Linked DNA regions of Caenorhabditis elegans. The protein of the gene in region 3 purifies or fractionates together with the protein of the main gene of each other region. This does not show direct contact. Each region holds a gene or a part of one and is shown on either strand. Other genes may lie near its edges.

Region 1 (7,504 bases), on a different chromosome or scaffold from region 3:
GGAGGACGAGGACCATCTTTAAACACATTTTTTAAAACTAAAATCGAGTGTATAAAAACACATTGTGTACAACAAAATTCAAAATTTACTTGCCTAACGTCACAACTTTGCAAAAAATTGTCAATTTGTTTTCATTATTACAATGGACGACGTAGAGAATTGTATAAATCAACGGTTGCAAAAAAACAAAAACTCTTGTTTTCACCGGTTAATCCTATTAATTGAACTTGAATTCTTTTTTTTGAATCATTGTGATAATGGAATCTTACGCTATCAAACTGCCAGAAATGTGAAAATTTCTAGGAAATGATTTTGATTGCATTTTAAAAAGGGCCTAGAAGATTTTGAGATTTTTTTCTGGGATTTCTCAAAAAACCAAACAGATTTCACTGACAAAAGATAAGAATCTGGACAAGACAAGGACACTTTTTTCCAATAAGCTTTTCAATACATATAGCACACAAACAGATTTGATATTTCAGATGACGAATGAAACACTCAAATGTTGATCTTTATTCAAACGATTTTTGATAAATTGTGATTTTGAAAATTTGGGGTCCTTTTTTGGATGGTGTACAGGCAGTCGAAAAGCTGGTAAAGTTACTCTTTTTTTCTAGAAACAGTTAATTTCATTTCATAAAAGGAACAAAGAGAGGTTGGGAAGAAGGTGGGGGGGGGGGGGGGAGAGGAGGAGAAAAGATGAAGAAGCGGCGAGAGCATGAGAGAGGTGTGAAGAGAAACGGGACGGGAAATGAGACGATGAATATTCGATTCTTTCACTTTTTTTTTCTTTTTGTTTGGTTTTTGTTCGGGTCGACGTTTCAGTATGCAATGACCGCGGATGTTAATTACAATTTGAATGCATAGAGAAATATTATAAAATTAGGAAATAAAATAAAAATAGTTGGGTAGAAATGAATGAGTTGAATGAGTAGCGTCAAAGATATAGCGTTCAGACTTTTGTGATACGACGTGGACCGGCGCGTGGTGGAGCTGGACGGGAGAACTGTTTGGGGGCTTCAACCGGGAGGGGGTGAATGACTTCGAGCAGTGCTTTCTCCGAAAGATCGTCGCGAGCATCTACCTCCATCTGCAATATTTAATTTGAAAGAGGGAAACATGATTAAAGAACTAGAGAAGTAAACTTCAAGTTTAAAAAAAATTATATTTTATCCAACATCGTTTTTTAACCTTTTTAAAAAAATTTTTTCTCTAATTTTGAACATTTTGTTACTCCGTTTTTGCAGAAACTGAATTTTCAGCATCAATTTTTTTACAGCTAAAAATGCTCACCTTATTCGTAATGACAACTCCGTATTGATTCTGAGCAGCGCTGAGGAATGGCCCCTTACAACTTGAGTAGAGCATTCTTTCTTTAATTGAGCTTCCAGATGATGGCAACGAGTAGATAAACACTGCAATTATTTTTTTATTTTTAAACATTACTTTTAATTTTAACTCTATTTTTCAATTTGGTAGTACATAGCTCAATTGCCGTTGTTTTCGAATTTTTTTAAAAATTTCACTAACAAACAAAACATTTTTCGTTACTTTTGAAAAATCACATTTCAAAAATATAAGCTTCATGTGAAAATAAAACGGGGTATATGAAAGTGGTGCACATGTACTTTCAAACATTTGGAAAACGGTTATTTTTCATATAAGTTATGTAGAATTTATAAATTAAAATTTGTTCACGACTAAAAATTGAGCTAAATTATAAACTGCCGAAGTGAGAAATTTTAGAGTACATAAATGAACTAATTAAAATTAAATCTTTAAAAAAATCCTAAAAACCAAATAACATGCTTGATCGTATACATTTTCAATATTTTATCTGCCAAATAGCTGATTGAAATAGAGTATTTATTTTCGTTCATTTTTCTGCATTTTGTCAATTTTTTGCATAAACTTTGTAGGCTAGTCTCGGACTGGTTGAGAGAAAAAAGCGTCTGCCCCAATTTTAGGATTAAGATTATTGGTGACAGACGCGGAAGTTTTGAGTTTAAGTAAATGTTTTTTCCTAATTCCACAATTTTAATTTTTATATAGACTACATTCTTTTTAAGTGTAAAATGAAAAAAAAAAACGACTCACAAGTACATTGTTGCGGAACACCTTCCCACGTGTGATCAAAATTGTAGAAGGTGTATCGTGGCTTGTCACGTGGCACTTTTGATGCAAGCTGCGATGGTTCCAATGATTCGAGGGTTCCCTCCAATTTGATGGCTTCATTGAGGGTATCGACCTGGAAAAATTTGATAATCCACAATTTATTGCAGTTTGAATATTATAATTTTAATCGGTGTTCCGGTTTTAGAAATATACGCGTTGAAAATATAGGTTAAGTGTTTACATTGTTATTTGACAGTTCTAAATATCAAATTAGTGAGTATCGAGAATATTGAAAACTAACGTATTTTGGAACACTATGCGTTTTTTTTTTTGAAAAAATTGTTCAAATAAATGCAAATTGAGAACAATTGTAAACATTATTCAGCATAAAAAAAATTCGTAAAATTTAATTAATGTTTTTCATTGTTTTTCTATAATATGTAGTCTCTCTATTAAGATTTGACTTTAGTGTTCTTTTTCAAATGTATAAAAGCTTACCGAGAGCTGAACAAAACTGAGCTTCTGGCTAGCCAACTGCCGGAGGGCTTCCTCAGCATTACGATCCACTGGGAACGCGACACCCTGCAATATTATTGAAACTGAATATCATCAAAACTTATTTCCTATACCTTCATATGTTGTGGTCCGGCATGTGCAATTGCAGCTCTTTCTTGCTGAGCATTGTGGAGCTCCCGTTCAACTTCACTCATTGGTCCTAACTCGGTTTTTGCCTTGAGCCACGCCTCGAACGCGTTCAGCGTGAGATCCTGAAATTAATTTTTTTTCCTTTTTTTTCTTAGCAAGTTTCTTCACAGGCTGATTCCCAATAACTCTCCACGAACCTTCAGATCAGTGACGTGTTTTTCGTGCTCAATGTAACACTGTCCGAATTCGCTTTTGAATGTAGCACATGTGGCGGCCAGAAGCATCTTTTCACGGACTGGAGCACGATCGTCGACAAACCTATAAAAACAAAAACTATATATTTTCATTGTGCACTGCAGAATGGAAACATGTGTTGGAAGTCAATCAAATAGAGTGAAGTAGGAAATTATAGGGAATTGTTTTTTTTTTTGACAATTGAAGTAACTACGGTGTAAGCAGGACCGTGTGTGGAAAAGTTATTATTTTCAGTTTTTTTTTCGTTACGGTACAAAGGAGGATAGGTTTCTAAATTCGAACAAGACTTTTCAAAAATGAGTTCTAAATTTTGAAAAAAAAAACATTTGCTTAGTCTTGTATATAACCATATCACAATTTTAAAACGGATGCTAGTCCAAAGCTATAACTTCTAAATGCTTTCTTCCTGGTACCTGGTGTACGGGCAAAAATATTCCTGCTGCACAGCAATAAACTTTTTAAGCTTTTTAAAACAAAAGCCTATGAAAGTTTTTTAGGCTGTTATCAGGTTGTACTTATAAAATTTAACTCGACTTTCACCAAAAATCTGGCAGATTTTGTTCAGAAGCTAGAACGTATGCTGATTGGAAACAAATTTCAAGACTGGTGCAACAACATTTTTACATTTTAACAAATAGTTAAATATAACTATTTGTTAAAATCTTTAAGTGGTTCAATTCATGACAACTATATGATTTTTTGATTAAAAAAAAACTTACGTGATCAAAACCCATTCTGTGATGGTATTCAACCGGAACAGAATGAAGCACGGCTCGTAGGCATCCACACAGTCCGGCAAGCAAGCCCTCCAGTCGTCACGCCAGTTGGCGGTTCCAGCAAACTCGTAGTTCGGCGTCATCTCCTCATTATTCACCACAATCTTGATGAGCCTCAGTTTCGCCTGTTTTCCCAAGTTGAGTGCATTTCGAAGTGCCGCGTTAGCTGCAAAACGTCGTCTTCTCGTCATTTCTTTCTTTCTACTACCCCCCACGCCAATGCTTCTTTTTTTTTCCCAAATGTCCCCTTCCTTTTTGTATGAGCCTTTGGCTGCTCCCAAAAGAATTGATGTTGTATAGTTTGGAAGAGAAGTGTGTCTGGGACTGCTGGGTAGCCTGTGTTTTAGTTTTAGTGCTCAGTCACTAGGAAGAAGTCATTAGAGATAATCTTAAAAATAACTGAATTTAAAAAAGTACATCCAAATCATCCCACTTCATCTTTTTTTATGAAACAGTGGCCCACTGGGGTGCGGTGTGCTCTGTGGGTGCGCGGAGCAGGTGATAGACACTATTTGCGGGAAATGAATGAACATGATGGAGAATGAGGACTCTTTCAGTTTGTTTTCGCGGGGTGGACGTGCTGCCTCCGACTGTATGCGCGCACTATTTCCCGCATGCTGGCAGGTTTTCATTATTAACGGAATGCACCACTCTCTCCACAAACGGTCGGGGGGCTACGCCGGGATTTGGAATTGTTGGGGCGAGGATGGGGGGATGAAATCAAAAGCTCCTTTTACCTCCTTCTCCCCTCTTCCCCCCCCCCCCCATATCCATTGTCAACATTGAAAGGCAGTGCAACGCGTGTGTAATATTATCCTCTCCCGATGAACCCCTCATCCTTATATCACAGGCGGATCATTGTTCTGAATTTGAACCTTTCCATCGGCCCCCGGGTTTCCCTTGAAAGATGCAAAATAGGTGGGGGGGGGGGAGAAAGGATGAAGAATTTGTGCGTCAAGGTTATATGCGTAAACGCCAAAAGATGGGGTGTTCACTTTACTAAGACCTTCTTTTTTTTCGAATCTTTTGAGGACGATGGGAAAATAATCCTGGAATAAAGGGGGGGGGGGGTACTATGGAGGAAAATTTGAATCGGAATTGACATGAAAAGTGCCGGGTTGGAGAAGGAACTACTTTCGAAAAACAATTGTTATAGTGGAAATTGTTTGGAAACTAGGAGTGTGTCAGATTATCTCAAGAAAAATAGTTTCAAAGAAACTCTTCAAAAAATTAGATTATTCACTTCTTAAAGGAAGTTGAAAGTTACGGTCCGGGTTGCTTTTCTAATTGGAGATATTTTTTACCGTGTAGCTGTGACTTAAACATTAGTTCAAGCCCAAAAACTGAATTTTGATGTTCTCACGTTTTCCAATGATCATTTTATTCAAATAATTCGCCAAAAAATTACAACATTAAATAGACTTATATAGATAAATAATACGGTTATCAAAATTTATATAACGTTCTATCAAATATAGTTTTTCTTCCAAAAAATTACGTCTTATAAAAATGCCGAATACCTTGCACAGAACTGCTATCGACAGCTGGCTCAGCGTCGCCAACCATTGCAGAAAAGAAAAGTGAAGTTTGGGTGGTAAACCTCATATTTGGTATGAAACGGTACTATTTGGATAGTGAGCGAACAAAAAACTAGTTGAAACTCAAATATTGAGTCAACACCCACTTAACCCCCCTTATAAACCACTAACCTCTGATTCCAGTTTGGCACGCCATAGTAGTAGCTTCTTCTCCTCTTCCGGGAAAAAAAATAAATGTATATGTATATTTATAACAACGGGTTGAAGAGAGCAGCTAATATTGCGCGCAACACAACGCAAAACCAACGCACTAGTGCCCCCCATCGCCTTCGCCCCTCTTTTTCTCAATTTCTCTGCCAACCTCTCTTCCCCTCCCTCCTTTATTCCTCCGTCTCCATCTTCCTTCCCATCCAAATGTTCGGCTGCCCGTGCACACTATCTCTCAAAACCTCATGCTATTTTACAAACTGCCCGTCACGTCTGGCAACCCTCATCCTCTATTGTGCAGAAAACGTCAGGCCTCGTCTCGTTTGCCTTAACGTGATGGTGCCCGCTTGTTGGAGTCTCTCTCTCTCTCTCTTTCCTTCTGTCCTTCTCCCGGAAAAGAAGGAATAGAGGAAGATGAACAGAAATCGTGTGGAGACGGCCTATTAACACTTTTCTAGACCTCTGAACCTTACATTTTTTCACTGTAATTGAAACATCTTCTCGATGACAAAACATGAAAAAGAGAAAGTTTAAGTGTATGTTTTTGCGGCAGGCTTGCGTGTCGGTCTCTAAGTTTCTGTATGTGTGTGTGTGTGTGTGTGTCAGTCGGTGTAATAATTCGGAAATTCGAAACTGAACCAAGAATCGAAGATGACGGAACATATGTGCTGTGCATTACGTTACTTGTGACCGCGGTGAGGTTTTCGAAACGCAATTACGTGTGCTGTGATAAATGTCAAACAGACTTCAAGCACGTTCTTTTGAAAATTTGCAGTGCAAACAGAACAGTGGGATGTTTTGAAAAGAAATGCATTAGATAAGAAAGTGTTATTCTGGAATTAATATTTTTGTATGAAAAAAGCATAGAAATGTTTAGGTCTACTGAATATTATAGACTGTATATAGAACAAAGATGCTTCTTGCTTCAATTTCATAGCTGAAAATTTTTTGCCAAGTAGTACATAGTGATAAGGAATATATCTTACCAATTTGAAGCTTCATCCTAAATTAAATAAACTAACTACTTAATAAGAATTACAGCAAAATGTTCAGAATGCTAAATTTTGAAATAAACTGTAAAGCAACTACATGTCTATACCAATATGCAGAATGTGTCTGAAACTAAAATTAATTATTATAGAATTTTCTTTTAGTTCACAAGTTTCCATTTCTAATATTGTTCTGGATTTTGGTAAATTGGCCATGTTTTTACTATTAGTATATGTATTAAAAATTCTCTCAAAGGCAGTTAACATACTTTTTTTTAAAAGTTAATATATTGCCATTCCAAGGTTAGTAGTGATAAGGAACACATCTTACCAAGTTGATGTTTCATTTTGCATTAAACTAATTAACTAATTAATATAATAAACCTAATCAATTAATTTTCAATGAATTTAATTCTAAAAAAAATAAAATGGGTTGAATAGTTGATTTTAGGAAAAACATGGTAAAATAGTTGATTTTAGGATAAAGCTTATTGTGAGTAAAATCAATTCCCTGCCACTATTTACTAAAAATTAGGTGAACAACTAATAATTTATTATTTTCAATTCGACCGTATAAACCTATATTTATTAAAAGTTGAGACTTTATTTGAAATTTCAAAAACTTTATATTACTTCGGTTTCATGTTTTTCAATTTTAACTTTCAATTATAATTAGGTACACCTGGATTTCTTATCCGGCACTGTTTTTTATTAAAGCCCAAAAGAATCACAGATTGAAGTATTGAGGCACCAAATTAGAAGACAACCAAAAATTCTCAAGAAAACATTAAAAATAGTTGTTGCTATCAGAATATGTATTTTTATTAATTTCATGTTTCTTTTAAAATTAACTCTATAAAAATCTGTCTTGCCTAGACTGCCATCAAACATAAGAACTGTTCCTATTTGGATCAAAACTCAAAGAATGTTCCTATGCCGCTTTACCACATCACTGAACAAACAGACGGCTCTTAAAAAA
Region 2 (3,494 bases), on a different chromosome or scaffold from region 3:
ATATTTTTACAGGTTTTTGAGTTAAAAAAAAACGAAAAAATCGTAATTTTTGAGGCGAAAATACGGTACCCGGTCTCGACATGACTATCTTTGTTAAACACAGAAAGGTGTACTCCTTTAAAGGAGTACTGTAGTTTGAAACTTTTGGTGCAGCGGAATTTTCATCGATTTTTTGCAGTTTTACTCGCGATTTGCTAAATAATATTTATGTGTGTTTTTTTTTATAATTGACCAGCCGGTGTCGTTCGAGCCTACGGCTCGACCTACTCCGACTGGCTTAAAATAAAGTTCGAAAAAAAAAATAAATGAATGAACTTGATTTTTTTTTTGAAAATGAAAACTTTCAAACTAACGTGAATTTTGCGTGTTGGCATAGCCTACATTGGACGGTAGGAAACTCTACTTTATATTTTTTTATAATTGATACACCTATTTTTAAGAAAAATATGAGAAACAATGAAAATTGTGCAACAACAGAAGTTTGAGACTACAGTACTCTTTAAAGGCGCACACCTTTTTGCAATTAACAACAAATTGTCGTGTCGAGACCGGATACCGTATTTTGCCACAAAAATGACAAACCTTCGGGTCGCGGTATTAGTTTCTCCCATGGTATTAAAAATTTCATTTTTCAGTTTCTCAAAAATTGAGCGGATTTAAAATCGAAGAAATATACCGTAGTATTTAAAGGCGCACGCTTTTTTTGAGGCATTAAACAAATTATCTGGCGTGTCGAGACCAAATGTAGCTGAATAAGTTTTACTATTTTATAAATTCAAATTTCAATGAATAATTTCAAAAGAAAAACATTTCCTTCACGTTTTCTTTTTTATCGAGAAAAAACCATGCCATAAAAACTCTTTTCAACATTTAAATTTTTTCGAATCAGTTTCAAAAATCGATTTTTCGAAGTGATCTGAACATTTTTCATTAAAAGGAGTTTTGGCGCGTAAGTTTTATTCTTTAAACTTTTTATTTAAACGAAAATTTAATTTTCCACCGATTATTGTTGAAATTTAGGAGTTTTACATTGTAAATGCCAATTGTCTTTCCATTATGTTTCGTCTCTACTTAAAATTTGTGATATTTGTCGAATTTTGCATGCCTTTAATTGTTATTTAAAGCTTAAGCGTATTTTCTCCATTCCGCACGGAAAGCGCGCCTTTCATCCTTACTGACGCATTTCCCGACGCTGGCGCACTTCTCGACCATCTGCCACTTTGGACACGTCAGCGCTTTCCGGATTCACTTTAAATGAAGCTTTCCTGGTCCCGAATCGCCGATTTTCAGAATTAGAATTTTTTGATTATCACACTGCGTCTCTTTTCTCTTTTCGGGTACACGTGGAAGCGCGTGTCGTTTTGTCTCTGTGTAGCACGCTACACAGAATGTCTCCGCCTCGTTATTTTCTCTCTTTTCCTCTTTTCTCACCCCCATTTAACCACTAAAAGTTCCCACTTTTGATCTATTTCAGTTCATTCATTTATTCTCTAAAAAATGCCTGATTTACCCGATTTTTAAGTGATTTAATTAATAAATTAATTGCATAATTTTCCAGATTCAATATGTCGTTTTTATGGGACTGGTTTAATGGAGTGCTCAACATGCTGGGTTTGTAAAACTGAATTTTACCATCATAAAACCTTTTATTTACAGGATTGGCCAACAAAAAGGGAAAATTGGTATTTTTGGGACTAGACAACGCTGGAAAGACTACACTGCTTCACATGCTTAAAGATGATCGTATTGCTCAACACGTTCCCACTCTTCACCCAAGTAATTATCGCTTTTTATTGATTTTAAAAGCAATTCCGGTGTAGTTCAGCCTGTTAAAGGAAGGAATCTTACTTTAAAAAAATGATATCTTTCTCTTCTTTACAGCTGATTGACCGGTTTTGCTTATCATCTGTCAATTGCTAAAGATGATGACGCAAAAAACTAGTTGTGAGAATTATTGAATTGATTATTTTTCAGCATCTGAGCAAATGTCACTCGGAGGAATTTCGTTTACCACATACGATCTCGGTGGTCACGCGCAAGGTATTCACTCGTTTTTTCGGTTTTTTAAACTAATTTTCTTCATTTTTCCAGCACGACGAGTCTGGAAAGATTACTTCCCTGCCGTGGACGCCGTCGTCTTCTTGATCGATGTGGCCGACGCCGAAAGAATGCAAGAAAGCCGTGTTGAGCTCGAATCGCTGCTCCAGGACGAGCAGATCGCTTCCGTTCCAGTGCTTATTCTCGGAAACAAGATTGACAAGCCAGGAGCATTGAGTGAGGATCAGCTCAAGTGGCAACTCAACATTCAACATATGTGCACCGGAAAGGGTTGGTTTTTGATTGGAAATTATCGCTTGAATTTATTTAAAAAACGAAAATCTTTATAGGAGACGTTTCCCGCAACGAAATGGCTTCTCGGCCGATGGAAGTGTTCATGTGCTCTGTTCTTCAGCGACAAGGATACGGAGAAGGAATCCGTTGGCTTGGACAGTACCTGTAAACAGATCAGTTCTTGAACTCTTCTTCTTCTGCTCACTCCTTTTTTATTCCATTCTCGAAAAAAGCACCATTCTCTTACATATTGCGCCGCCAACATTTCCCATAGATTTGTTGTACGTACTTGTCATTTTCCTTCGTTTTTTCTTTTGGGATCCTTGGGATCCTCATCATTAAACTTCTCATGCCTTCGACGTTTGTGCATAAAAAAGCAAGCCGCAATCCCATTTTATTTTATTTATAAATTTTGACTTATACGGACTTGTAAAAAATTCACGGCGTCCTCATTGTTTTTCTATTCTCCACAAAAATTTATTCAAACCTTTTCCTCATCTATTCCGTATTTATCACATCACTATCATTCAAACATCCCCATTTTTCTTCTCGTCCCACTTCATTTCCCCCTCAGATTTTCTAATTTTTTATTTCGGTTAGTTCTATGTGAATGAAACAGCTTCGGAATGTTGCAGTTCGAAGTTTTCCCAGAAATTATTCTCTTATCACGCTACTCACAAGAAAAAAAACGTCACGCCATATAGTTGTTTTCTTTGTGGCGAGCTTTAACTATAGTTATAACTGAAACTGAAAAACTTGGAATTTGAAAAGAAAATTGTTGATCGGAGTACATTTGATCACAAGGGCCTGTAGTCAGGCGACATGGTCAAACATTCCATTATGTGGTTTGTGTTCCAAGTGGTCAAACGGACACATTTCTATTTCAGGTGCGGAAAAAAAATTAATTTCAGATCAGATAATTGGCTATTTTTCCAGAAGAACCTTTTCGTCGTAGTCTCACAGATGGCTTCTGCAGTACATTTGAGTGCACACAGCTCACTCCAATTCTCTATTCCTCCACTCTCTCGACGCAATGGTGTTCGTGTGCACCCACTACGAATATCCAATAATCAGGGAAGGGAACCTCCTTTATTCATAGAATTTTAAATAAATATTTTGAATTTATCATCATCTATATTTTACTTGTAAACTCTATTAAAATA
Region 3 (7,619 bases):
TGGTAGCAATGTTGTTCGACAAAGAATAAAGTGGACAGCTTATCCAAAAGGAGCAAGAATTCCTGAACATGTTCCAGTACCTCCCGTGGCTCAACTTCCACCACTTCCACCAATGCAACAAGTGATTCAACCCATTTTGACCACTCAGGCAGTTTATACAACTGAGGAACCATACATTCCATTGATCACGACAGTGCCAACCCATGAAATTTCCCGTTTAAAACATGAAGAAATGCAAAGAAAGTACAAAGAAGATCTGGAAAAACGGCAGGAAGAGCAAAAGAGACAACAAGAAGAACATAAGAAAAAGATTCAAGAGTTGAAAGCTGCACAGCAAAGAGAACGTGAGAGAATGATGGTTGAAAGAGAAAAAGCTGAAAATGATAGAAGATTGAAATATGAAAATGAAATGAAGCAACGGGCTGAAGAGTACCAAGCAAGAATGAGATTAACCACGATACCAACTCCAACCACTACAGTTGAAACCACAACTGAATATGTTCACGTTCCATATCCAACTCTTCCTGTCAATGAAGTTGTATACGATGCACATATCAGAAAACCAATCCCAACAAGCAAGTCAATTGCCGAACCAGTTGAACACTTCAGGCCAATTATCGAAAATGTGACGCCTGCGTCTCTTAGTCTCGAAGATATAATTGCAATGGATAATCAAAGATCAGATTATGAAGATGAATATGATGTTCCAATGGACTTCCCAGATACGGAAGCACCACCATTGACAACAAGACCTCCACCAGTAACGGTTCGAAATACTCGACCACCTCCTCCACCACAAATACCACAACCAAGATCTCCGATTAATGGAGGAATGCCTTCAATTGTTCAACCACCTAGCAGTGGAAGTGAGTATTATTGTGAGAATTTCATTTTAAAAAATTCAAATATATTTCCAGAGAAATCGAAATTGTTCGCACCACCATCAAGTGAAGAGTACACTCAAGAAGTTGATTTTGATCCATACGTAGACTTTGTCAAATAAGAACTAAAAACTATTAAATTTAATTTCTAATCTTCTTGATACGTGTATATTTACATTTTCTAGGTTTGAAATTCTCTGAATTGAACATTTTGGAAAAAACTGTTATCGGGAAAGAAATCTTGAAATTTTAAAAATCTTACCTCTTTACTTTGTCCTTGAGGATCTTCATCTCTATCCTTTCCCGCTAGTATTCCTAGATTTTTTTTCCAATTTTTTTTCAAGTTTTGAGAAAGTTAATCCTAGGAGACCGTTCCAGATACATGGTGCCAGCGGCACGTTAATAATTCATTTTCCCAATTTTATTGATTTTTTCCAGAATAAATTCAATTTTTGTGATGATTTTATTAAAAAATATTTTTTTTTAATGTTCCCGCCTCTTTCTTTTCATTTCTGATAACACATACCACTTTTATCGTCATCGTCTCCACCGCCCTCCCTCAACAAAAAGAACTTTACAGCTTTTTGATTTATTGGCTCTTTGCGGTGGCTCCAATTGACAAGACGGCAGTCTGATGGTCACGGGATATTTGTTCTTGAATCTTCTGCTTCCTTCTTTATTTTTTCTTTACATTTATCTCATTTTTCAGATGAACTTGTTGTTTATTCTCTCATTAGTGAGCCTTGCTGCGGCGGGTGCTAGCAATTCAGTTAATACTTGGGGAGGTGTTATTCAATATGATGAAGATTGGGGATATGTTGATATTCGTACAAATGCTCATACTTTCTGGTGGCTTTATGCAGCAAAGCCTGCCAATTCTCAACGTCCACTCTTTCTCTGGTTGCAAGGAGGACCTGGATCATCTAGTTCCGGTTTTGGAAACTTTGAGGAAACTGGACCAAAGACGTTGAATGGATCTGACAATCCAGCTACTTGGGTACGATATTTTCTGTGATTGTTATTTTAAACACTGTATTTTTTTTTTGAAATCAAGATCTAAATTGAAATTTGAAAAGTTAAAAATTTAGCTTCAAGTTGCTGACATGGTCTACGTGGACAACCCCGTTGGTGCTGGTTTTTCCTATGTCGACGATAAATCTGCTTACACCACTGAAATCACTCAAATTGGAAAAGATTTGCTCGCGTGGCTTCGCAAATTCCTTGCTCTTCATCCAGAGTATCGTACTCGTCCGTTCTACATTTTCTGTGAAAGTTATGGAGGTAAAATGAGCGCTCAATTTGCTAAAGTCATAACTGATGTAAGTTTCGAGGTAACCATAAAAAAAACTAATTAACTGTAGTTGTTTAGTCTATCAAAGCTGGAAGTCTTCAACTCAACTTCCGCGCTGTTGCTCTCGGAGATTCATGGATTTCTGCAATGGATTATGTCAACACCTGGGGACCATATCTTTATGCTAATGTGAGTTCATATGATCATAGGACACTTTTATGTGTTCCATTCCCCAAAAAAATTTGTTTTGTTCTAGCAAATAACATTACTATTTAAATATTTACAGTAAGATTTAAAATGTGATAGTTATCACAAAAAAAATCCAAAAGCAAATCCGACTATCTCGAGACGTTTTTCTGAATATCGTAGAAACTTGTTTTTGAGACTTTGACAATCCACGAGAATTATTCAAAAAAATATAGTTACTTCAAACTGTTACGTCCTTTTACGTCACAGCTTTCAAAAGTCAAAGACGAATAGGGCTATTTCAGTCTTTTTGCTTCATCGGTTTGAGACTTTTTCATTTGTGATAGGCATAAAAAATTAAGACAGGAGACACTGAGAGCACTTTTTGAAATAATTTTTTTTCAACAACAAAAAAAAAGTTGTAATATAATATTGCAACATATTTCAAAGAATTGCCCCACTGATGATACTCTTTTTTAAAAACGTATGTGGCGTATAAATATACAAACCACGCATTCCGGGAAATTCATTAATACCCGAATAACTTGTGATGTAGACAAACGTGCATATGTTCTTATGGTTTCATTGTAACGACACAAAAATGAAAGTACGGTTCTGACCAACAAAAAGGTGACAATTCGTCAGTTTTTCCATGTTTTAATCCGCTTATCAAACACGTAGAAACCCCAAAATTTCAATTACGTTTTCAGTCTTTCCTTGATGACCATCAATTGAATACAGTTAATGCTGAAGCAGCAAGATGTCAAGCACTCGTGGATCAACAGAAATGGGAAAAAGCAACGAATTGTTGGGGAAATATGGAGAATTTGATAAGTGTTGAGACGAATGATGTCTCTTGGTATAATATTCTGAAGAAAGGAGATACTGATGACTGGAGTTCATCTGCAATGAGATCAAATAGAGTGATGACTTCAACTCGTAGATTGTATAATCGATTCGTTGCTCCACAGAATTTGGATTCTCTTTCAAATTACATGGATACAGTTGTTCGCAAGAAGTTGGGAATTATTCCGGATAAGGTGAAGTTCGGAGGACAAGCTGGAGACGTGTTCAGTTATCAACAAGGAGACTTTATGACACCAATTTGGAGTACTGTAGATCAGCTTCTAAAGGATGGATACAATGTGATTGTGTATAATGGAAATGAAGATTTAATTTGTAATACAATGGGAACTGCTGCATGGGTTAATCGGCTCACTTGGGACGGTGCTGCTACATTTAATTCAACAACTAGACATTCATTCAAAACTCAATCATTCCCATTGGCTGGATATTACAAGACTTACAAGAATTTGCAATTCTGGTGGATTCTCAGAGCAGGACATATGGTAAATTATTTTTAATTTTAGAAAACATTATTGGAATAATATTAATTTCAGGTTGCATATGATACCCCAGAATCTGCAATCTTCATGTTGAAGGCCGTGGTCAAGCAGTATAATGCATAGAACTTTCTCATTTTCTTTATTTATAAATGTATTCTTTCTCTCTGTATGATTTCAACCAATGTAAGCTGGACGTCTTCTCTTTTTATTAACCATTATTATCCGTTCACAAAACATGAGCGTGCACAAAAATGATTGCAAACTTTCTGAACCGAAAACTGTAAACAATTGAGAGATGATTAGAAATGAAAAGGTAAGTTTGGACGGGGATGAGAAGACATCGTGGACTGATGTATGAATGAAGGGAGAAGTTTATGAGACTGTTGGAAAAAAGGATAAATGACTTATCGTGGATAAAACGACAAATCGAGAAGGAAGAAATTGTGGTAAAAAATGAGGAAAAAGAGGAAAGAAAATTGGAATGCGTGCCTTTTTTGGAGGAAGAAACGAGTGTGATTCCTCCGACATTCTTTCTTGATTTTTTATCTGTGTATCTGAAAGTGTATCTGAAAGTGTATCTGAAAGTGTATCTGAAAGTGTATCTGAAAGTGTATCTGAAGTGTATCTGAAGTGTATCTGAAGTGTATCTGAAGTGTATCTGAAGTGTATCTGAAGTGTATCTGAAGTGTATCTGAAGTGTATCTGAAGTGTATCTGAAGTGTATCTGAAGTGTATCTGAAGTGTATCTGAAGTGTATCTGAAGTGTATCTCAAGTGTATCTCAAGGATAGAATATACTGTGAAGCCAGAGAGTAAAATATTCTGTGAAGCCAGAGAGTAAATTATGCTGTGAAGCCAGAGAGTAAAATATTCTGTGAAGCCAGAGAGTAAAATATTCTGTGAAGCCAGAGAGTAGAATATACTGTGAAGCCAGAGAGTAAAATACAGTGTGAAGCCAGAGAGTAAAATATACTGTGAAGCTAGAGAGTAAAATATTCTGTGAAGCCAGAGAGTAAAATACAGTGTGAAGCCAGAGAGTAAAATATACTGTGAAGCCAGACAGTAAAATATACTGTGAAGCCAGAGAGTAAAATATTCTGTGAAGCCAGAGAGTAAAATATTCTGTGAAGCCAGAGAGTAAAATATTCTGTGAAGCCAGAGAGTAAATTATGCTGTGAAGCCAGAGAGTAGAATATACTGTGAAGCCAGAGAGTAAAATACAGTGTGAAGCCAGAGAGTAAAATATACTGTGAAGCTAGAGAGTAAAATATTCTGTGAAGCCAGAGAGTAAAATACAGTGTGAAGCCAGAGAGTAAAATATACTGTGAAGCCAGAGAGTAAAATATACTGTGAAGCCAGAGAGTAAAATATTCTGTGAAGCCAGAGAGTAAAATATTCTGTGAAGCCAGAGAGTAAATTATGCTGTGAAGCCAGAGAGTAGAATATACTGTGAAGCCAGAGAGTAAAATACAGTGTGAAGCCAGAGAGTAAAATATACTGTGAAGCTAGAGAGTAAAATACAGTGTGAAGCTAGAGAGTAAAATACAGTGTGAAGCCAGAGAGTAAAATACAGTGTGAAGCCAGAGAGTAAAATATACTGTGAAGCCAGAGAGTAAAATATACTGTGAAGCCAGAGAGTAAAATATTCTGTGAAGCCAGAGAGTAAAATACAGTGTGAAGCCAGAGAGTAAAATATACTGTGAAGCCAGAGAGTAAAATACAGTGTGAAGCCAGAGAGTAGAATATACTGTGAAGCCAGAGAGTAAAATACAGTGTGAAGCCAGAGAGTAAAATATACTGTGAAGCTAGAGAGTAAAATATTCTGTGAAGCCAGAGAGTAAAATACAGTGTGAAGCCAGAGAGTAAAATATACTGTGAAGCCAGACAGTAAAATATACTGTGAAGCTAGAGAGTAAAATATACTGTGAAGCTAGAGAGTAAAATATACTGTGAAACCAGAGAGTAAAATATACTGTGAAGCTAGAGAGTAAAATACAGTGTGAAGCCAGAGAGTAAAATATACTGTGAAGCCAGAGAGTAAAATATACTGTGAAGCCAGAGAGTAAATGCAACTAAAAAAATGTTTTTAAATTATTGGAAAATCTAGTTTTCCTGATGGGAAAATTTTGCATTTTTTTGAAAATACTTGAGGCAAACTTTTATTTCTGCTAGATTGTGACTCTCTGAGATCCGCTCCACACTACGAAAAAAGCGTGGATCGCAGAGGCCGTCGAAGGCACCTTGCCGCGCCGCAATAAAAGCCGTACCTCAAAGGATTCACAAAATTGATGTTCACTCTCTGTAGGAGTTACTATGTCATTTAAAATATCAAAATGGCATGTAGAAGACACAAGAATTTTTCAGAAGTTTCATTTCAACAAGCCACAAGGAGAACTAAAGAAGGCCACAGAGAGTAGGACATAAAAAAAAGAGGATGGGGGGAGGGGGTTACAGTTCTCAAGTATTATCGTCTAGATCCATTAAAATTTGGAAAAGCTTCTCAATATGGACACAGCAAGTTCCAATTCTCATTTGATCCGTGGCTGAAAAAATCGTGTTGACCGCATGCATATCAATGATAGTTTGTTTGTCTCCTTGGAAGTAAGTTTTTGGATCATTCGACATCATTGTAGCTTTCACAACTTTGTGTGTCCCACATATCAGCTCCAAATCAGGATTCTGTCCAGAAAGGTGATTTTTTACGAAGAACAATGGATTGCAGATATTTTTGGCTTCTTCATCTCCTGCAAAGAATACAATTACCTTTCTGTTTCGGGGTTTCTCTCAAACTAACCTCCTGTCTGCACAGCCTTTTGAATGGCGGTGTAAAATCAATTTCAACAGATCTATACTTGATCAAAAATGATCTTTTGATCGAGTAAACCAAAGTAGTGATAAGTTCCTCTACCAGATCTTGGAAATCGTTTAAGTTAATATTGCACATTGAGATTTCTGCAGTTAACACCAACGGTTGTCGTTGAGAATTCCATTTGAAGACTCGTTCAATTCCTTGAGTGACTAGCATTCTGTTATAGAGTTCAGTCATTTTGCTGTATACATAATCAATGTTAATAGACTGTCTTTTGTTAAATGATTCCAAAGCGATCGGATTCATTATCACGCGATTGGTTTCCAGGAAGAGCAATTGATAAAGGTATTTCAGTGTTTCAATATGGAGTTTGCTGACAATCAAGGCATGTTCTCTGGCTTCATCGGTATTATTCAATTCTTCCAGATTCGGGAAATCAGCTTCGATTTCTTCAGCTTTGAATGAATCTCTCACTTGTTCGAGATTATTGCTTTTAGTCAATCTAGAAATAAAAATAATTGAATACACAGAAGACAGGATAAAGTGGGAAACAAACCCTTCAGCAGTCACTCGATACGATTCCTTCGTTGTTTACAATTCTTCCAAATCTAAATGAAAACCATTAGAAGAGAACTCTGATTTTTGTCTCACTGCTCGTAATAACGTTGTGCTTCAAACGCTTGGCCATCGAGAATTGCGTATTCGCGGTAAATGTGTTTCATTTTTGTACGGCCATTTTGATCTCTCAGTCGTTCCAAAAGGAATCTGATCAATTTTAGGTTGTCTTCCTTTGAAATTGTCATTTCGGGACTGAAAAAAATTGTGATCTTCCAAAGTGGAAACAATATCAATCCTGAGACTGAAAAAAACGTTCAAAAATAATATTACCGACACAAGAGACGTCAACGACGACAGAGTAGATGTTGTTGTGGACGATATAATCAAGAAATGACTAAAATACAACAGTTCATTTACGCATCGACTTCATAATGATGTGATGTTCACGTCGAGTATATATTAGTTTAAAAAATTGATTAAATATTTTATTAATATTATTTTTATTTGATACGTTTATTTGAACGTGAAAATAATTACTTACTTAGGATA
Region 4 (7,552 bases), on a different chromosome or scaffold from region 3:
GTACTGAAATTAATTTTCCGGAAATTTTTTGAAAAATCAAACAAAAAAAATTAAAAATTTCAAATTTTTTCCAGAAGTTTGAATTTTTTAATTCGAAAAAATATGGTTTTCGAATTTAAAAAATGAATATTTTCGAGATTTTTTGGAATTCTCAAATATAGGTAGGTTAAAACTTAAATTTAATCTATGAAAAGTTCGAATTAACATCGTAAATTCTACATTTTGAAAACACATAAAGAGCGAATTAAATATTTAAAATTCCAAAAAATAATTTTTTTTTTCTACAAATTCGACGATTCATTCTTCTTCTCCTCTCCACTACTACTGCCTCCAATCCACTTGAAAGTCTCAAAATGCGGATTCTCAACGACTCCATCCTTGCAAAGCTTCTTCAGCACGAGCTTCACATTGTTCAACGCAGCCAGTCGTACAGCCCACGGCGAGTCAGCATAAACCTGATTAGTCACATCCATACTGGTGATCTCCTCGTGCTCTTTGAGCACTTTGATAATCTCGCGTTCTCGTTTCATTCGGTGCTCGATGTACTCGTCAACCTTCTCCACGACCTTATCGATAACCGGACCATGACCCGGATAAATCCTTGTCGCATTGAGATCCTTGATCTTTTGCAGTGAAGTCATATAGTCATGAAGATCCTCGAAGACGGTAGTTCCCTCGCCGAGGATGCAGTCTCCACTGAACAATGCTCGTTCCTCTTGGAGCCACAGAGAGAAGTGATCGGCGGTGTGGCCTGGAGTGGCGATTAGTCTGGAAATTTAATGTTTAAAGATGGACTAGCTTAAAGGTGGTGTAGTCGAATTTTTTTTAATTTCTTTATTGGACTCAAAATTGTCTGAAAACACCGAATTTTTGTTTTTTGATCCCAGCCCTGAAACTGTGGTATTAACTGTAGTAGCATAGCTCTTTTTCAAAAAATTGAATTGCCATGAGAAATTTTTTTTTGGAAATTTCAAGATATATCAATTTAGCCTTTCTTCGAGTTATTTTAAAGGTGGTGTAGTCGAATTTTTTTTAATTTCTTTATTGGACTCAAAATTGTCTGAAAACACCGAATTTCATAATGAAACTTCTTGAAAACTTTTCAAAAAAAAGTTATGGCCTCTTGAAAAATGGCCTAAAATTAGTGAAAATTTGAAATTTGACCGACTTATCATTGTCGCAGCGGCTGGAAACAATTTTTTTTTGAAATTGTCGTCTAATTTTGGCTATACAGGTCGATTATCTTGCGTTTTCAGCTTTATTAAGGTATTTGAAAGTCGATGGACGAAGAGATTTGTCAAATTTTTTTCATCAATTCTCTTCGTCCATCGACTTTCAAATACCTTAATAAAGCTGAAAATGCAAGATAATCGACCTGTATACCCAAAATTAGACGACAATTTCAAAAAAAAATTGTTTCCAGCCGCTGCGACAATGATAAGTCGGTCAAATTTCAAATTTTCACTAATTTTAGGCCATTTTTCAAGAGGCCATAACTTTTTTTTGAAAAGTTTTCAAGAAGTTTCATTATGAAATTCGGTGTTTTCAGACAATTTTGAGTCCAATAAAGAAATTTAAAAAAATTCGACTACACCACTTTTAAAATAACTCGAAGAAAGGCTAAATTGATATATCTTGAAATTTCCAAAAAAAAATTTCTCATGGCAATTCAATTTTTTTGAAAAAGAGCTATGCTACTACAGTTAATACCACAGTTTCAGGGCTGGGATCAAAAAACAATAAGTGTTTCGTTTTGATTTTGGACCAAGAAAAATTGAAATTTGGGAAAAATCAAAAAAAAACCAACAAAAAATTTGATACTTGAATTAATTTTTTTACCGTGAAAAATGCATTTTTTTTTGGTTTTTCGGTCTTAAAAAAACAAACAAAAAAATCAATTTTTCGTTACAATGGCAAAAAAATTCAAAAAAAAATCCCAGCCTTGTACAATACCACTACAGTACCCCCTATAATAATACTATAGTGCAACTACAATATACCTACAGTACACGTACAAAATAGCTATAGTACCAGTACACTTACAGTACTACTGTACTACTGTACCCCTACAGTACTAATGCAGCACACCTTCGGAACTTCTACAGTACCTCCGTAGTACCACTACAGTACCCCTATAATACTACTACAATGTCCCTACATTACCCCTACAGTACTACTACTACTACAGTATTGCTACCATTACGGCACTACTGTACTAACACATTTTTTTGGAACAAACGTTCAAAAAATTTTGTATTCATAAATTCCTTTTTGAAAAAAAATATGGATCCTTTTTTTTTTTGAGAATTTCAACAAAAAACTGAGATTTCAAGGTATTTTTTGAGGAACATTAATTGTTAAGGTTTTTTCCTTATTATTTTCGGAGATTTTCGACAAAAATTAGGAATTTAAAAAATCGTCCCGGAAAAAAAAATAATATAGAAAATTTCAAAGGAATTTAAAATCAAAAATTCTTAAAAATAACAGATGGTAACTGAAATTGCATTTAATTTGAAATTTCAGAAAATTCCAATTTTTTCCAAATTTTCACAACAAAAAATCGATTTCTAGCAGTACCCCCTACAACACTACTCATTTAAAAAGACACAATTAATTTGTTTCTAGAAATACAGTACTACTACAGTACCCCAATATCACTACTTCAGTACCCACCCCTCCCAATATCACTACAGTACCCCTGAAGTACTCCTACAGTAACCCTATAATACTACTACAGTACAACCGAAATATACCTACAGTACCTCTACAAAACTCCTTCACTACCCATATAGTACTACTAGAGTGCCCCTACGGCACTATTACAGTACTCCTATAATATACCTACAGTAACCCTACACTATCACTATAGTACTACTAAAGGAGGACTAACGGTTCGAACGATTTTGAACGTATAGACCCAAATTGAGCTCAAATGAACGAATTTCGTAATGAAACTGCTCAAAACAATTTTCAAACATTTTTTATGGCGGTTCAAAATTTTGAAAAAATTACACTGATTTTACCTAAAATCATGAGTTTTTCCCATTTTTTCGTGTCACATCTGTCCGAAGTTGGATTTTTTGGAATTATCGTCCTTTATTGCATATATTGGCAATTAATCTCATTTAATTTCGTGGATTAAAGTACATTTAAAGCCGATAGGTAACCAATTTCGATGATTTTTGGTTACCTAACGGCTTTAAATGTACCTTAATCGACGAAATTAAATGAGATTAATTACCAATATATGTAATAAAGGACGATAATTCATTTTTTCAATTTTTTCAAAATTTTGAAACGCCATAAAAAATTTTTGAAAATTGTTTTGAGCAGTTTCATTACGAAATTCGTTCATTTGAGCTCATTTTGGGTCTATACGGTCAAAATCGTCCGAACCGTTAGTCCTCCTTAATGCTACAGTACATACCTACAGTGCACCTACAGCGGAACTACAGTATCCCTACAGTACTACTACGGTTTTTTTCTAATAAAACCAATTCTCTAATGATAAATGCTCACTTCAGCGTGGCTCCATCAACTGCAACCTCAAACCCATCGTCAACATAATGAAATCTCTCGACACCCTCATCCTTGTCCCGTTTCATTTTATAAATAGGTATCTTCTTTTTATCCAAAATCTCATCAGTAATATTATCGATTCCACCAACATGATCGCCATGCCAATGCGTAATAACGATATATTCAATGTGGGAATTCGTAGATGCGAGAACTGATTTCAGTGCCGAAATGTACTCGGTGACGTTCGGCTCACCAGTGTCCACGAGGATTTTTCTGAAAGAAAAAATTTGATTAGAAATTAAAAATTTTCAGAATATTGCTGCCTACTTTGCACCAGTGCCCAGTAGATATGTATTAGTTCCTTGAAGAGTGAAGGGGCCGGGATTGTGGCCGAGAATTCTGGTGACCGCGTCGGAGAGCTTCTCGATGGGCTCCACGTGAGTGAGGCTTGGCATGGCTCTGAAAAAAAGAATTTCGAGATTTTCAGAGAAGTTTTGAAAAAAGTGTAGTGCTTTATGCAAAATTTGTGATTTTTTTTGCAGAGTAAATTCGAAACTGCAATTGCCCGAAAATCAAAACCAGCGCTACATTAGTCAGTTAAAGAGATACTGTAGTTTTCGCAACGAGATATTTTGCGCGTCAATTATGTTGCGCAATAGATTTCAGTTTTAGTTTCGGTTATTTCGATATATTTTAAATAATTTAATTCTTTAATTCCTAAATCTAGTCATAATCTAGTCTAAATCTACTCCAATCAGTGTTGTTTTACGCAGCTAGCTGTCGATTTACGGAGACTTTTTTTTCAATTTTTGCCAACTTTTACAGGTTCTGATTGTTAATAAATGCACAATTTTTTTAAATAATACAAAACTTTACAACCAATTTGATTTAACTTTTTTTCCGGAAAAATTACTGAATTTCGAGACATTGTTTCAAATGGGAAACTATGAAGAATTAAAGAAAACCAACTGAAAAGTGATCGATAATCGTTCTGTGACTTGTTTCGTCTATCTCTCTCTCTCTTTCTAAATTTCCCTTATTTTCGGAACACTGTAGTCAGTTGGCTACACTTAAATGATGATGTTTGCCAATTTCTAGGTGTCAGCCAATGGAATTTTGCAATTTTGTGACTTGGGCGATAAGTCAGAATGTATTGATAATGCAATTGTATAGTACAATGCAATTTCTGGCAAATCGGCAAATTGCGGGAATTGAAAATTTCCGGCAAACCGGCAAATTGCCAGAATTGAAAATTTCCGGCAAAAAGGCAAATTGCCGGAATTGAAAATTTCCGGCAAATCGGCAAATTGCGGGAATTGAAATTTTCCGGCAAATCAGTATATTGCCAGAATTGAAAATTTCCGGCAAAAAGGCAAATTGCCGGAATTGAAAATTTCCGGCAAATCGGCAAATTGCGGGAATTGAAATTTTCCGGCAAATCAGTATATTGCCGGAATTGAAAATTTCCGGCAAACCGGCAAATTGCCGGAATTGAAAATTTCCGGCAAATCGGCAATTTACAATGTTTGTTAAAAATTTTTTAAAGCCCCCTAAAACTAATAAATATTCAAAAAAAAGTAGTCTTCTTAAAAAATTCAGAGAAAATTCAGAAAAAAAAATGTCTTTATTAGGGAACAAATTTTGGTATCATTGTAGGTTTACGCAGCTGGATGTCGATTTACGAGCGGAATTTTTTTTCAATTTTTCTCAGATTCATGAGAAACAATATCATACATCCTGGAAAATAGTTTTTTTTTAATCATGGCATTGTAGATTTACGCATCTCTGTGTCGATTTACGAGCACTGGTTTTTTTCAGAATTTAGGAATTAAATTATTTATTTAAAAATTGAATAATTTAAAAATATTATCAATTAACACAACAATTTCTAAAAGTCAGAAAAAACCTCGTAAATCGACACAAGCAGTCAGAATTCACCAAAAAATGAGCTCGTAAATCTACACTGGCATCCGAAATTTTGACTTGAATTTAAAAAATAACTGAACACAAGCTCGTAAATCGACACAAAAAGCCGGAATTTCTAATTTTCTACTATTCTCGTAAATCGACAGAAAACCGAAATTTCGAAAATTCAGGAAAAAGATCAAAAAAAAATTCGTGGAAAAATCCTGAAAAAGCTCGTACATCGACACAAAGAGGCAAAATTTACCAAAGAATTAATGAGCTAGTAAAACTACACAAAGAGCTGAAATTCCTAATTTTCTTTGTCATTCTCGTAAATCGGCACAAAACCGAAATTATGAAAATTCAAAAAAAAAATCGTCGAGAAAGCCTGGAAAAGCTCGTAAATCGACACAAAAAGCCGAAATTTTGAAAAAAAAAACTTTCGCGCCAAGACCCCGAATTACAAACCAACCTATGTGCCTTTGAATTAACCAAATAGGCAACACCGGCGTATGCGAAATCCGTATAAAAACGAAGCATCGTCCAGGCTCGTCCAACGTACGCCGTCATCGTGTTCTGAATTACGAGATACTCATCTATGTTTCCGCCCCCGCCTCTGGGTGATTCAGAAATATAGGTCATTAGGTCGTTTTAGGACCAATTTTCATGGAAAATCGATCGGATAGAGAAAAATGGATTAAAAATGGTAGAAATTTAATTAAAATTTCAAAAAAAAACATTAACAATGGTGACAGGAGAGGATTGACGATATTAAATTAAAATAGTTTTTAAAAATTGGGAGCTGAGGAAAAAAAAGAAAAAAATATTCAAAACAAAAAAAAACTAAAAACTAGGTAATGATAAAAAGTCGCTGGAAATCGATTTTTATGGAAATTTGGATAAAAATTGGAAATTTTAGGATTTTTCCGAAAAATTTCGAGAATTTTAACAAAAATAGGATTTTTTGGAGAAAAAATTCAGTTTTTTTTCCAAAATTTTGAGAATTTTTGCAAAAATCTGGGAGTTTTAATCAAAAAGTTGAAATTTTTTCTATTTTTCCAAAATTTTTGAGAATTTTCGCTAAAATCTGAAATTTTTAATTAAAATTTTTATTTTTTTCAGTTTTTTTGGGATTCTCAAAAAAATGTTCGATAAAAAAATCGAATTTTTAGAATTTTCACGATTTTTCAAAATTTTTGACTTTTTCTGTAAAATCGGGAATTTTTAATTAAAAAGTTCAAACAATTTTCTGTTTAGCTGAATTTTTTGGATAAAAAATTTAATTTTTAGAATTTCCAGGATTTACCAATTTTATCGGGAATTTCAACAAAACGCTATAATTTTAAGAAACTTTTCTATAATTTTTTTTTGAAATTCCGGAAATTTCAGTATTTTTGACTGAAAAAGTTTTTAAAAAAATTACTAAAAACTAAAATTTCTGAATTTTTCTAAATTTTCCAAAATTTTTCAACTATTCGCAAAAAAATCGATTTCCAGGCGAAAAAAAAACAAACTAAACAATTTTACAAATATAAGGGGAGTAAAATGAGAAAATGTGGCTAGACTGTAGCATTTGATAACAACAGAAACGAACAAATCGGTATTATGGGGAAAAAAAGTCAAGTGTTAGACGGTAGAAAAATGAAATTTTGAGCAAAAATGTGGGTCCCGCAACGATTTGTGAGGGGGGGGGGGGGGATACTGTAGTTTGACCTAATTCATCGTGAAAATGGTGTGCTGAATGCCGAAATTCATTTTGAAATTTGTGAGAATTTTGAGCTCCGTCTGAAGTCGTTCGATTTTCAACTGTACTGCCTGACTGTACTCGCGGCTTTCCGATTGTGAACGAATTTCGTGCTCTTTTGTGCTGAAAATAGGAAGGTAGAATTGAGAATTTAAAAAAAAAAATATTTTTGAAAAAATGTTTTCAAAAATTTCAAAAAAACATTTTTTGTTGGAATTTTTACTAATTTGAGAGAAATTCGGAATTTTTTATAAAGCTCATTTCTTCCCGCAATTTAATATTGGTTTTACCAAGAAAAGTAAGTATAAATTGCAATTTTTGAAAATTGGCGAAAAAATAATTTGTAAATTTTTTTAGAACTTCAGATTTTCCAGATTTCCTGTT

Evidence for each region.
Region 1: the proteins of Y32F6A.5 (region 3) and twf-2 fractionate together in Caenorhabditis elegans (co-fractionation; one large-scale study listed by BioGRID). This does not show direct contact.
Region 2: the proteins of Y32F6A.5 (region 3) and sar-1 fractionate together in Caenorhabditis elegans (co-fractionation; one large-scale study listed by BioGRID). This does not show direct contact.
Region 4: the proteins of Y32F6A.5 (region 3) and Y53F4B.39 fractionate together in Caenorhabditis elegans (co-fractionation; one large-scale study listed by BioGRID). This does not show direct contact.

Annotation. Positions count from the first base shown.
Region 1 is NC_003284.9:16,444,339-16,451,842, reverse strand, and holds twf-2 (Twinfilin), read right to left. Parts: upstream 5,647-7,504; 5' UTR 5,526-5,646; coding exon 5,501-5,525; intron 3,958-5,500; coding exon 3,735-3,957; intron 3,079-3,734; coding exon 2,958-3,078; intron 2,883-2,957; coding exon 2,745-2,882; intron 2,698-2,744; coding exon 2,614-2,697; intron 2,249-2,613; coding exon 2,098-2,248; intron 1,416-2,097; coding exon 1,294-1,415; intron 1,091-1,293; coding exon 953-1,090; 3' UTR 824-952; intron 632-823; 3' UTR 507-631; downstream 1-506.
Region 2 is NC_003282.8:4,511,384-4,514,877, reverse strand, and holds sar-1 (Small COPII coat GTPase SAR1), read left to right. Parts: upstream 1-1,558; 5' UTR 1,559-1,565; coding exon 1,566-1,611; intron 1,612-1,656; coding exon 1,657-1,776; intron 1,777-1,974; coding exon 1,975-2,040; intron 2,041-2,091; coding exon 2,092-2,328; intron 2,329-2,387; coding exon 2,388-2,500; 3' UTR 2,501-2,985; downstream 2,986-3,494. Other genes in the region: ZK180.8 (uncharacterized protein), read left to right, coding at 3,295-3,438. UniProt on the Caenorhabditis elegans protein: Small GTPase that cycles between an active GTP-bound and an inactive GDP-bound state and mainly functions in vesicle-mediated endoplasmic reticulum (ER) to Golgi transport.
Region 3 is NC_003283.11:10,447,577-10,455,195, reverse strand, and holds the start of Y32F6A.5 (Retinoid-inducible serine carboxypeptidase), read left to right. Parts: upstream 1-1,590; coding exon 1,591-1,878; intron 1,879-1,969; coding exon 1,970-2,200; intron 2,201-2,250; coding exon 2,251-2,361; intron 2,362-3,068; coding exon 3,069-3,707; intron 3,708-3,758; coding exon of another isoform or gene 3,759-3,827; exon of another isoform or gene 3,828-3,861; intron 3,862-6,158; coding exon of another isoform or gene 6,159-6,447; intron 6,448-6,497; coding exon of another isoform or gene 6,498-7,014; intron 7,015-7,068; coding exon of another isoform or gene 7,069-7,120; intron 7,121-7,163; coding exon of another isoform or gene 7,164-7,315; intron 7,316-7,619. Other genes in the region: F22E12.1 (BPTI/Kunitz inhibitor domain-containing protein), read left to right, coding at 1-866, 918-1,003.
Region 4 is NC_003280.10:15,108,594-15,116,145, reverse strand, and holds the start of Y53F4B.39 (Beta-lactamase-like protein 2 homolog), read right to left. Parts: upstream 6,003-7,552; 5' UTR 5,995-6,002; coding exon 5,897-5,994; intron 3,979-5,896; coding exon 3,847-3,978; intron 3,793-3,846; coding exon 3,520-3,792; intron 769-3,519; coding exon 282-768; 3' UTR 1-281. Other genes in the region: wshc-4 (HEPN_LA2681 domain-containing protein), read right to left, coding at 7,138-7,291.